Saccharomyces cerevisiae S288C: one gene and its partner. The protein of the gene in region 2 purifies or fractionates together with the protein of the main gene of each other region. This does not show direct contact. Each region holds a gene or a part of one and is shown on either strand. Other genes may lie near its edges.

What was found. The genes of interacting proteins can lie anywhere in the genome.
Region 1: the proteins of IKI1 (region 2) and KTI12 purify together in Saccharomyces cerevisiae (affinity purification with western blotting; 5 studies listed by BioGRID). This does not show direct contact.

The regions. Positions count from the first base shown.
Region 1 is NC_001143.9:228,427-234,124, reverse strand, and holds KTI12 (Kti12p), read left to right. Parts: upstream 1-4,244; coding exon 4,245-5,186; downstream 5,187-5,698. Other genes in the region: transcription factor HAP4, read right to left, coding at 234-1,898; DNA-binding protein ABF1, read right to left, coding at 5,360-5,698. UniProt on the Saccharomyces cerevisiae protein: Elongator complex-associated factor that is not a structural subunit but rather transiently contacts the complex.
Region 2 is NC_001140.6:479,051-483,665, reverse strand, and holds IKI1 (Elongator subunit IKI1), read right to left. Parts: upstream 2,677-4,615; coding exon 1,747-2,676; downstream 1-1,746. Other genes in the region: GPI-anchor transamidase subunit GPI16, read left to right, coding at 1-1,661; ubiquitin-binding TORC1 subunit KOG1, read left to right, coding at 2,994-4,615. UniProt on the Saccharomyces cerevisiae protein: Component of the elongator complex which is required for multiple tRNA modifications, including mcm5U (5-methoxycarbonylmethyl uridine), mcm5s2U (5-methoxycarbonylmethyl-2-thiouridine), and ncm5U (5-carbamoylmethyl uridine).

The sequences.
Region 1 (5,698 bases), on a different chromosome or scaffold from region 2:
TTTAACTTTTTTTTTATGATAAAGAAAGAAAAAAAAAATCATTAACATCATTAAAAAACAATCAAAGTTTTGTTTTTTTACTTTTTTTTTTTGGAATTTTTGTTGTTGAAGGAAAAGGACGCCTAAGCAGGCGAAGAATACTATCATTACCCATAATAAGAATTTTTTATTGTATAATATCATTTTGTTTTCGTGATTTTTAGTTGTTTTCGTTTTATTGCAACATGCCTATTTCAAAATACTTGTACCTTTAAAAAATCGACATCTTCGTCAAGGTCGTCGATGAAACTGCTTTGATCAAGTTCATTGGTGGCAGTTGCATCATTGTTGTTATCGTTTAAGTCATAAAGGTTAGCGTTCGACTTCGACGTAGAAATTTTTTTGGATTTCAGAACTTTGGTGTAGTCGTCATCAGTACCGGCACTACCGTCAATACCGGTATCGTTGGAAAACATGAAATTTTTAAAAGATCTGCCATTGTTACAGTCCTGCTCTTCCATCAACTCTTCTAGAGTTGGGGGCAAATAAGAAAACTTATTGTCAGCCAAAGTGATTTCTGAACCTAACTCGTCATGGTGATGCGAATCAGCGCTTTCATCCTGATCCTGAAGAAACAGATAGGTTTCATCGTTCTTTGCTTGGATGTTCGCCTTCTCAGAATTAGTATTTTTTTTCAAAGCACGTGATGAATCTTCTTGTTGTGAACTTGAACTTGGTAAATAATTCCAAATGTCTTCTTCATCTGGCTCAACCTTATCATCTTGCCCTGAAGATACGGTTTCCTCCAAAATTGGCAGATTCAATAAAGACATATTATCGTCATTGTCCACTTGTTGGTAATTGCCACTGTTCTTACCTGTTGTATCGTCCATAGACTGTAAGTAAGAATTCCAGAGATCATTATTTTCGTTAACGTCGTTATTCGTGTTGACTTTGGCATACTTATTGAAAAACTCAAGTTTCTCGAAATCGTTAAAGAATTTAATCTCGTTCAAATCCTCAATTTTGTCCTTAACTTGCAAATTAGTAGGCAAGGAGTGGTTTCTAATCAACGAGACTGAATCTGCTGGAGAGAAATCTGCTGGAGAATCAGGGAATGAAGCCTTATGAGGGATCTTATGAAAATTTAGGTTCATGTTCAAATCTTTTGTCAACTGTGGGACCGGAGTGGCCGATGAAGATGTGGAAGATAAGGACAATAAATCAAAGTCGTTCAACTTTGATTTTTTCGTGGGTGGTGCGTGAACATTTGAAGAAGAATCTATATGATGGTTTTTTGTTAGCAGACTGTTGTGAGCAGCAATGGTTTCCACATCGGTGCAGCTTTCATCGTCCATGAATTCTGATTTTTTTCTATTTCTATAACTTGAAAAAGATGGAGATGAATAAGATGGAGATGAAATGGAGGAGGCAGAAGAATGAAACTTTTCATTTTCCAAGTCATCGAACTTCAAAAATGCGAGGTAATTCGAGTCGTTTATTAGCTTTTCATCGATTGTCTGGATATGTCTTGGTATTTTCCTCTTTTCTTTGGAAGCTTGTTTCCTATTCGAAATGATGTTATTATTATTATTATTATTACTACTGTTCCTGCTGTTAGGGCCAACATTTAAAATATTATTGGTGTTGTTGGCAGGTAGAGTGTTGTGAGAAGATGATCTTCTACCAGGTCTTGGTCTTGGGGGCAAAACCCAATGTTTTGAAGTTCTAACCACCAAGCTAGACTTCTTCTTCTTTTTACTGCCATCGTTTTCGAATTCCAGCGAACTATTGTTATGATGGTTGGTATTTGGGGCGATCGGTACAGGCGCCAATGGAATATTATTATGCTCATTTTTAAAATGGTTACTACGAGGGCGACTAGCGGAGGCCTGTAGTAGAAAAGTCTTTGCGGTCATGATTCTTTTTTTGTTTTTTTTTTGTACTAGAAAATGTAGGTAAAACAAATCAGCAACCCATTAAAATGCTCTTTGATGTACTAGGAGACCAATAAATATGTGTGGAAAAAAAATAAAACTGTGTTTTTTCTCTTCCTATGCGTTTGATAATGATCTGCTCAAATAAATAATGACCCTTTTTTATTTTTCTGGTTCCTTTATAGTAGTATTTTTATATTATTAAGTGTAAAGTGGACCTGTAGATAGCATATACGATATAAAACTGGGGTTTAGAGAGGTGAAGGAATTAATAAAGGTAAAAAAATTAAAAGGAAAAAGGAGATGGACCTAAACAACCACACGGGGTTAAGCAAGAAGAAATTGATATAGGAGATTAGTTAATAGCTTTACAATATATATAATTTATCTAAAAACGATCTCATACTCAATAAATTTTTTTAGAGTAGTCTCGGAAAGAAAATAGCAATCCATTTACTTTTAGAACAATCTGCAAAATCGATACATGACACTTGGAAGCAACTGTGAAAAGGCTACGGCCATTGCTTACCGCGTGCAAGATCCGTAACATAAGAAAACTTTAGTCCTTGATGAAAGAAAATTTTCGTTTTTTTTTTCAGGTTCAGCGGGCTTAACCTCGTTTGCCGCCTCGGCCCCGCTCCGTTGTGCTGGCCATCTGTGCGCGGCGGGCTTCCCCCCCGTCGCTACTTCCGGATTAAACTTTTAGACTTCGGACCCCTGCCCCGGGGGGTTTCTCTGAACGCCGGGGTAGTGGTCCAAAGCCCACGAAACGCGTGTTCCTCTCAGCGGCATTGGAGTGAATAAAGCCCGCAGGACAGCCTTTTTTTTCCGGGCTGCACGACCGAATCAACTTGTCGCTCTATTCCTCCGTTGTTCCCGATTTGTAGCTCGGGGCCGACTCGCTTTTTGGCCAAGAAAATTGAGGAAAGCCCGTATTGCGGAGAAGGTTCTTATGTATTTGCCGTGCGATCAACCTCCGGGGCCCGGGTTTCAAATTCCGGCAATCATCCATGCCTAGTTTTGGAAATTCTCAGCAGAGGTTATCCCGTAAGGTGAAAAAAAGACATAAACGGTTTTTGCCTACAGTTTCCGGCAAAATAGTGATCTCATAGTACATCACTACTGCGAAGTCACCGGCCCGTACAGAAAAAGTATATCTTTAAATAGCGGCCCTACCTCTGCTTCTACCTACTTCATATTCGAATTCTTTTCTCGCCTTCCGCAGTGTTTCGCAAATCTGGACCTACGCACTAAATCATTTATGATTGTTCTCTCTTTCACGTGATAAGGTTTGCATTCTATTCGTTACCCTATTAATTATTACTATTTTTTTCAGCATGAGTTTTATTTCGCACATAAAATGCATCTATTTCTGGATATTACTGTAGTTTTCTTTGCTTTTCGCCTACCGCGCGGCGAAAAGTCGTATCAATCAATATGTGCCACTGCTATCATCCCTTGATAGAGTACAACGTAAAAGAGGCATTGTAGCATATTCACCCCGCTTGATAACTAGATTTTTTAGGCAAGAGTTGCGCACAGCGTACTGTGCACTACGGTATACAGAATTACACAATTGATACTTATTCTCTCCTTCATTGTTGCTCTGTTTCCGTTGTTTAAACTTTATCCAAAAACTCTGTTTTCTGTTTATTGAACCCCTTGCTTTCGCAAGCAAGCCCGACATATACGAACAGAACTGGGGAGAGGGAGTCTTATGCTGTACAACTCATGTAACCCCCACTATCTCAGGAGTTATATTAAATCAAGGCACGCCAGTGCTGCCTCTCTTGGTACGACAAACAAGTTTTTCCCGATTCTAGGTATTGCATTACATAATATCAACCCTTTGTTGTTTTCTTTTGATTTTTGAAAAGAAATATCTCATACCAACCGGAAAGGAAAAAGGACACAATTTGGGAAAATAGGCAATTTATTATGTACACAAGTCATAACCAAGAAAAAAGTAAGGGTAAAACAAGCAATTACTGAACTTGTTTCATGAGACTCATATCCAGAAGCATATTTATATAAGGAAATATTAGTTGCAAATCATTATGTCATTCCTTTCGCACACCCGATATGCTAAAAACAGCATACATGCACACTGCGCTTGGCTTGGACATATTCTCTCTGCATATGATGGAAAAAAAATCTTTTTTTTTCTTTTTCTTTGACTTTTTGCCGTTTTGTCATCGTCATCGCGATGGAAAAAGAAATGAAGAATACTTGATGAACAGGTGAAACTTGAACAATAACGTATCAGAATGAGGGTAAAGGGACCTTGTAAAACTTTTGAAAAAACTAAACAGGCAATTTAGTAAGAAGATGCCACTGGTGCTTTTTACGGGATACCCATGTAGTGGTAAGACAACGCTTGCTAAACATTTGGTACAACTACTACAGTCCAAGATCGATGCAACCCCATCATTAAGTAAATATTCCATAACCTATCATTCAGATGAATCTTTAGGCATAAAACATTCAGATTATATAACTTCCCAAGATGAAAGAAAATTGAGGTCGGAGATCATCTCCGCAGTGAAAAGAGATCTATCTAAAAACAAGATAGTCATTGTAGACTCGTTGAATTATATCAAGGGTTTCCGGTATCAACTTCACTGCGAGGTGAAAAATTTGTCCACCACATTTTGTGTAATTCAAACACTGTGTCCACCAGAGACTATATTCGAGTGGAATAAGACTTCAAACCCGAACCCTTGGGAACCCGAGTTATTGAATCAATTGATTCAACGATACGAAGAGCCTAACTCAAGCAACCGATGGGACTCTCCACTCTTTGCTATTCTTACTCCTCAGGACAACATAACTGACTACATCGACGATATTTGTAAAGTAGTCTTTCAAACTTCCAAATCGGCTAAAAACAGTGGACACAATGATCCGTTGAGTAAGGGCTTACAAAAACCGAACTCAGCCACGGTACTAAAGCCTGCGTCTCAGTCCAATTTCATCCAGGTTCTCGACATCGAAACTAGTAAGATAATAAAAACCATAATGAACCACATCAAAAGCCTGACTTCTATTGGCGGGGTAAGTAACGGAACAAGAGTCATTGTTTCCGAAGGGATTACCGATATCAATGATGATGGTTGCTTCTTCGTAGACTTGCCCATTGGTAACGTCGTTACGTTGGCGCAATTGCAGAGATTGAAAAGGCAATTCATTAACTTCAACAAACTAAGAGATATAGATCAAGATAGGATCGGTCCGCTTTTCGCTGATTATCTTAACAAAAACTTGAATTGAGATATACATGTGATTAATATCAGAAGGTAAATGGCAAGACGAAATTTGCTTGTTTATAATACAAAAAAACATACATAAGATATAATATATATTTCAATAGAAAAGAAAAAGTATAGAAAAGTGAATAAACAAAAGAAACATGAGAAAAATAGCTCGTCTTCTCAACTGGGTATCTATTGACCTCTTAATTCTGGTTGAATGTTTTCATCAGAAAGGTCTTCTTCATCATCGGCTTTCCCTATTAGTCCAGCAACATCTTCTTCATCGTGATGAGGTTGGCTATGATGGTTATTATGATGAGTTGTGTTCTTATTATACTGCGATTCTACATCCACGTCCACCATTACATCGTCTACGTCATCATCATTATTCTGGTGTAGATTCTCTACCTCTTTCAAATGCGATGACAGTAACCTTAACTGTTCCGCCACTTCATGTGGTAGTTTGTCGTCTTCATTTCTCTCTTCCAGTGTGATATCTGACAAATGCTGTCTTTTGGACTTGTGAGCATC
Region 2 (4,615 bases):
TGCAATCGGAACCGTTTGACCCGGCCGTATCATCCATGTCATATGATGCGTATGAGCACTACACGACTTTCCCACGGGCCATCCCACCATTGTTGGAATCTACTGCCACGCGTCAGTTTCATTTAAGATTTACCAGAGGATTCTGGGATGCCCTGTCGTGGGGACAGTTGCCACATGCTGGAAAAGAGGCAGGTGCCTCAGGTGTGGAATTGTGGTCGCAAGTGCAGGCCATGGATCAGGAACAGGCGTTCCATAATTGGAAAAAACTGTCCAATTCATTGAGCGGATTGTTTTGTTCTTCTTTAAATTTTATCGACGAGTCAAGGACGACCTTTCCCCGGCGGTCATATGCTTCTGATATAGGAGCTCCTCTTTTCAATAGCACCGAGAAACTGTACCTGATGCGAGCATCGTTGCCCAATGAACCCATCTGTACCGAGAACTTGACGCCGTTCATAAAACTATTGCCTACTAGGGGCAAATCCGGTTTGACATCTCTCTTGGATGGTCATAAATTGTTCGACTCTCTATGGAATAGTATTTCCTTGGATATTGCCACTATTTGTTCTGAAGATGAAGATGCTCTTTGTCACTACGAGATGGACGCACGCATAGAAATGGTAACACACGTTCCCTCCGCCTTGGCAAGAGGTGAGAGACCTATCCCCAAACCTTTGGATGGGAACACATTGCGTTGTGACACGGATAAACCCTTTGATTCTTACCAATGCTTCCCTCTACCGGAACCTTCGCAGACTCACTTCAAGCTGTCTCAGCTGTTTGCCAGACCAATAAACAATGGCAACCTGTTTGCTAATAGGCCCACAAGAATTTGTGCAGAAGTTGACCGTTCTACCTGGACTGCGTTTTTGTCAGTTGACGATACTATTTTCAGCACACATGATAATTGCTTTGACTTATCAAACGATCAAAATGAGGGTGGTTCGGGCTACGACTTTATTTTAGAATCGACGGACACTACTAAAGTTACTCCCATAGTTCCTGTCCCAATTCACGTAAGCAGATCTCTGACTGGTAATGGACAAGATCGTGGTGGAATGCGTATTGTTTTCCATAACGACAATGATACCCCTGTGAAGTTGATTTATTTCGAATCATTGCCATGGTTCATGAGAGTTTACCTATCCTCTCTTCAAATTACTTCTACTACCTCTCCGCAATTGCAAGAAAACGATATCATCTTAGATAAATACTATTTACAAGCGGCCGATAGAAAAAGACCTGGCCACTTGGAGTTCACGATGTTAATTCCAGCTAATACGGACATTGTAATGACTTATCAATTCGATAAAGCTCTTCTGCAATTTGCCGAGTATCCACCAGATGCAAACCATGGTTTTGAAATCGATGCAGCTGTAATCACCGTGCTATCTTTGGAGTCCTCATCGTCTCTTTATGAAATGAGAACCTCTACCCTATTGTTATCCCTGTCTACACCGGATTTTAGTATGCCGTATAACGTCATCATTCTAACATCTACAATCATGGGACTCATATTCGGTATGCTATACAATTTGATGGTGAAGAGAATGGTCACCGTCGAAGAGGCCGATAAGATTACGTTGCAATCTGGCTTAAAATACAAATTGCTAAAGCTAAAGGAAAAGTTCCTAGGGAAAAAAAAGACTAAAACAGACTAACAATCTAGCATCTAGATATGTGTATGAAGTATACGTAGTTTACATAATCTGGAAGCACTCACTATTTACCATCAGTTTCTACTTTTTAAAAGGGATCCTCATATGGATCCTCTTCATCATAATCGTCATCCTTTTCGTACTCATAAACAATAGCACCCCCTTGTCCAAAGCTTTGTGCCTCCAGAAAAGGCAATGCGACTTGATCTTTGGCCAGCTTCTGTTTGTTGGATGTTCCTAGGTTGAATGTTGTTAATCCTTGCAACATTTCGGGTGTCTCCAGTCCGTTACTACTGCTCTCCTCTTCTTGCTTAGTGGTTGATAATAATTCATATTCGTGGGTGTTTGAATTTACTATGAAGTCGTATTCCAATGACCTGCCGGACTTTCTTTTATTAACAAGTCGTAATTGAAATATATCGTTATTTAACCCGCGAGGAATTCTAAATTCGTTTAACAATTCACTCACCTCCTCAGTATCGAGAGTGCCTGTTAATACCACATCAATATCTACTATTGTAGTGGCCATAAACTGCAGTAAAGTCAACTTATCAGGATAATTGTTATTCCAATCAGGTATTACCGTACGGTTCTCATCTTTGATGTCTTTATGATAAGTCGCAACCATCGTGCAGTGAGGAGAGGCGATCTCAGACAAAAACCTTGTTATGTATTCTGTAGAAATATAGTTCAATGAATCGATAATGACCATGTGCTTTTTTGCCTGTGTGGCAGTAGCAGCCGGTAGATATGATATAATTTGTTTCACTAAATGTACAAAATCCATCTGCGTAGCGTCAATAAATTGAGTACAGTACGATGGTTTATTCACTGTTTCGAACGAAATGTACACAATTGGATACTCATTTCCTTTACTCTTGCTCTGGTGGACGAATTCTTGGATGAGCTTGTATGAGGTCTGGGCAATAGAATCTAAGCACAAAATGAAAGGGGAGCTTTCTGTGAGCGATAAGATTCTTTTCAAAAGAATGACAGGGTTATGTGACGAACTGGCCATTATATCTTGTTCTACCTGTAGCAATAGCTTGGGTTGGAGCTATTAAAAAGCTCTTAAGTTATCATTCTCCAGAGGTTATAATGGCATCGCTTCTTATATTTGGATTTTTCAAGGTGACCCGCACTATGAGATGATAATCAAGGCAGCATTAATAGTATCAAAAATACTTTAATAAATCATCAATAGGTAGTACTTTACATAAGTATATAGAGGATTTTAAAACTTGTAAAGTTATTTTCGAATGCATTTGGTTTGTAGATTCCTTTGATTACATTTAGCGAATCCTATTGCATGCAGAGAAGGGTAAAAGATACATAATGCCGGAGATTTATGGACCTCAGCCATTAAAGCCACTCAATACGGTGATGAGACATGGGTTTGAAGAGCAATACCAAAGTGACCAACTTTTACAATCACTCGCGAATGATTTCATATTCTACTTTGATGATAAACGACACAAAACTAATGGAAATCCGATTCCTGAAGAGGATAAACAACGAGATGTAAATCGTTATTACCAGCCGATTACCGATTGGAAGATTATGAAAGATCGACAGAAGACAGTAAGTGCGGCCCTTTTATTATGCTTGAATTTAGGTGTCGATCCCCCTGATGTTATGAAGACACATCCCTGTGCCAGAGTTGAAGCATGGGTAGACCCATTGAATTTCCAGGACTCGAAGAAAGCAATAGAACAAATTGGTAAAAACTTACAAGCACAGTACGAAACTCTGTCTTTGAGAACACGCTATAAACAAAGCTTGGATCCTTGTGTAGAGGATGTCAAACGGTTTTGCAACTCGCTAAGAAGAACTTCTAAGGAAGATAGGATACTTTTCCACTACAACGGACATGGTGTGCCTAAGCCTACAAAATCAGGTGAAATTTGGGTTTTCAACAGAGGTTATACACAATATATTCCGGTATCTTTGTATGACCTGCAAACTTGGTTAGGTGCGCCATGTATATTTGTCTATGATTGCAACAGTGCTGAAAATATATTAATCAACTTTCAGAAGTTTGTGCAAAAGAGGATTAAAGATGATGAAGAGGGAAATCATGATGTTGCCGCGCCATCACCAACTTCAGCTTATCAAGATTGTTTCCAATTAGCCTCTTGCACTTCCGATGAACTTTTACTTATGAGTCCGGAACTACCCGCAGATTTGTTTAGTTGTTGTTTGACCTGTCCAATAGAGATTAGCATCCGTATCTTTCTCATGCAGTCACCCTTAAAAGATTCTAAATATAAAATTTTCTTCGAAAATAGTACTTCAAATCAACCGTTTGGTGATAGTAAGAACTCGTTCAAGTCCAAAATACCCAACGTCAATATCCCTGGAATGTTGTCGGATAGGAGAACGCCGTTGGGAGAACTAAATTGGATTTTTACAGCTATAACGGACACAATTGCATGGACATCCCTCCCCCGACCACTTTTCAAAAAATTATTCAGACATGATTTAATGATTGCTGCGCTTTTCAGAAATTTTCTTCTAGCCAAAAGAATAATGCCGTGGTACAATTGCCATCCTGTATCTGATCCAGAATTACCAGATAGTATAACCACACATCCAATGTGGAAATCTTGGGATTTAGCCATGGATGAAGTACTGACTAAAATAGTCATTGATCTGAAAAATGCTCCTCCCGCTACTGCCTTAGAGAGTCAGATGATTCTACAACAACAAGAAACCTTACAGAATGGTGGCAGCTCTAAGTCGAATGCCCAAGATACGAAAGCCGGAAGTATTCAAACACAATCGAGATTTGCAGTGGCCAATTTAAGTACAATGTCTCTAGTAAATAACCCTGCTCTCCAATCAAGAAAATCTATATCTTTGCAAAGCTCACAGCAACAATTACAGCAGCAGCAACAACAACAACAACAATTTACAGGATTTTTTGAACAAAATTTGACTGCTTTTGAATTGTGGTT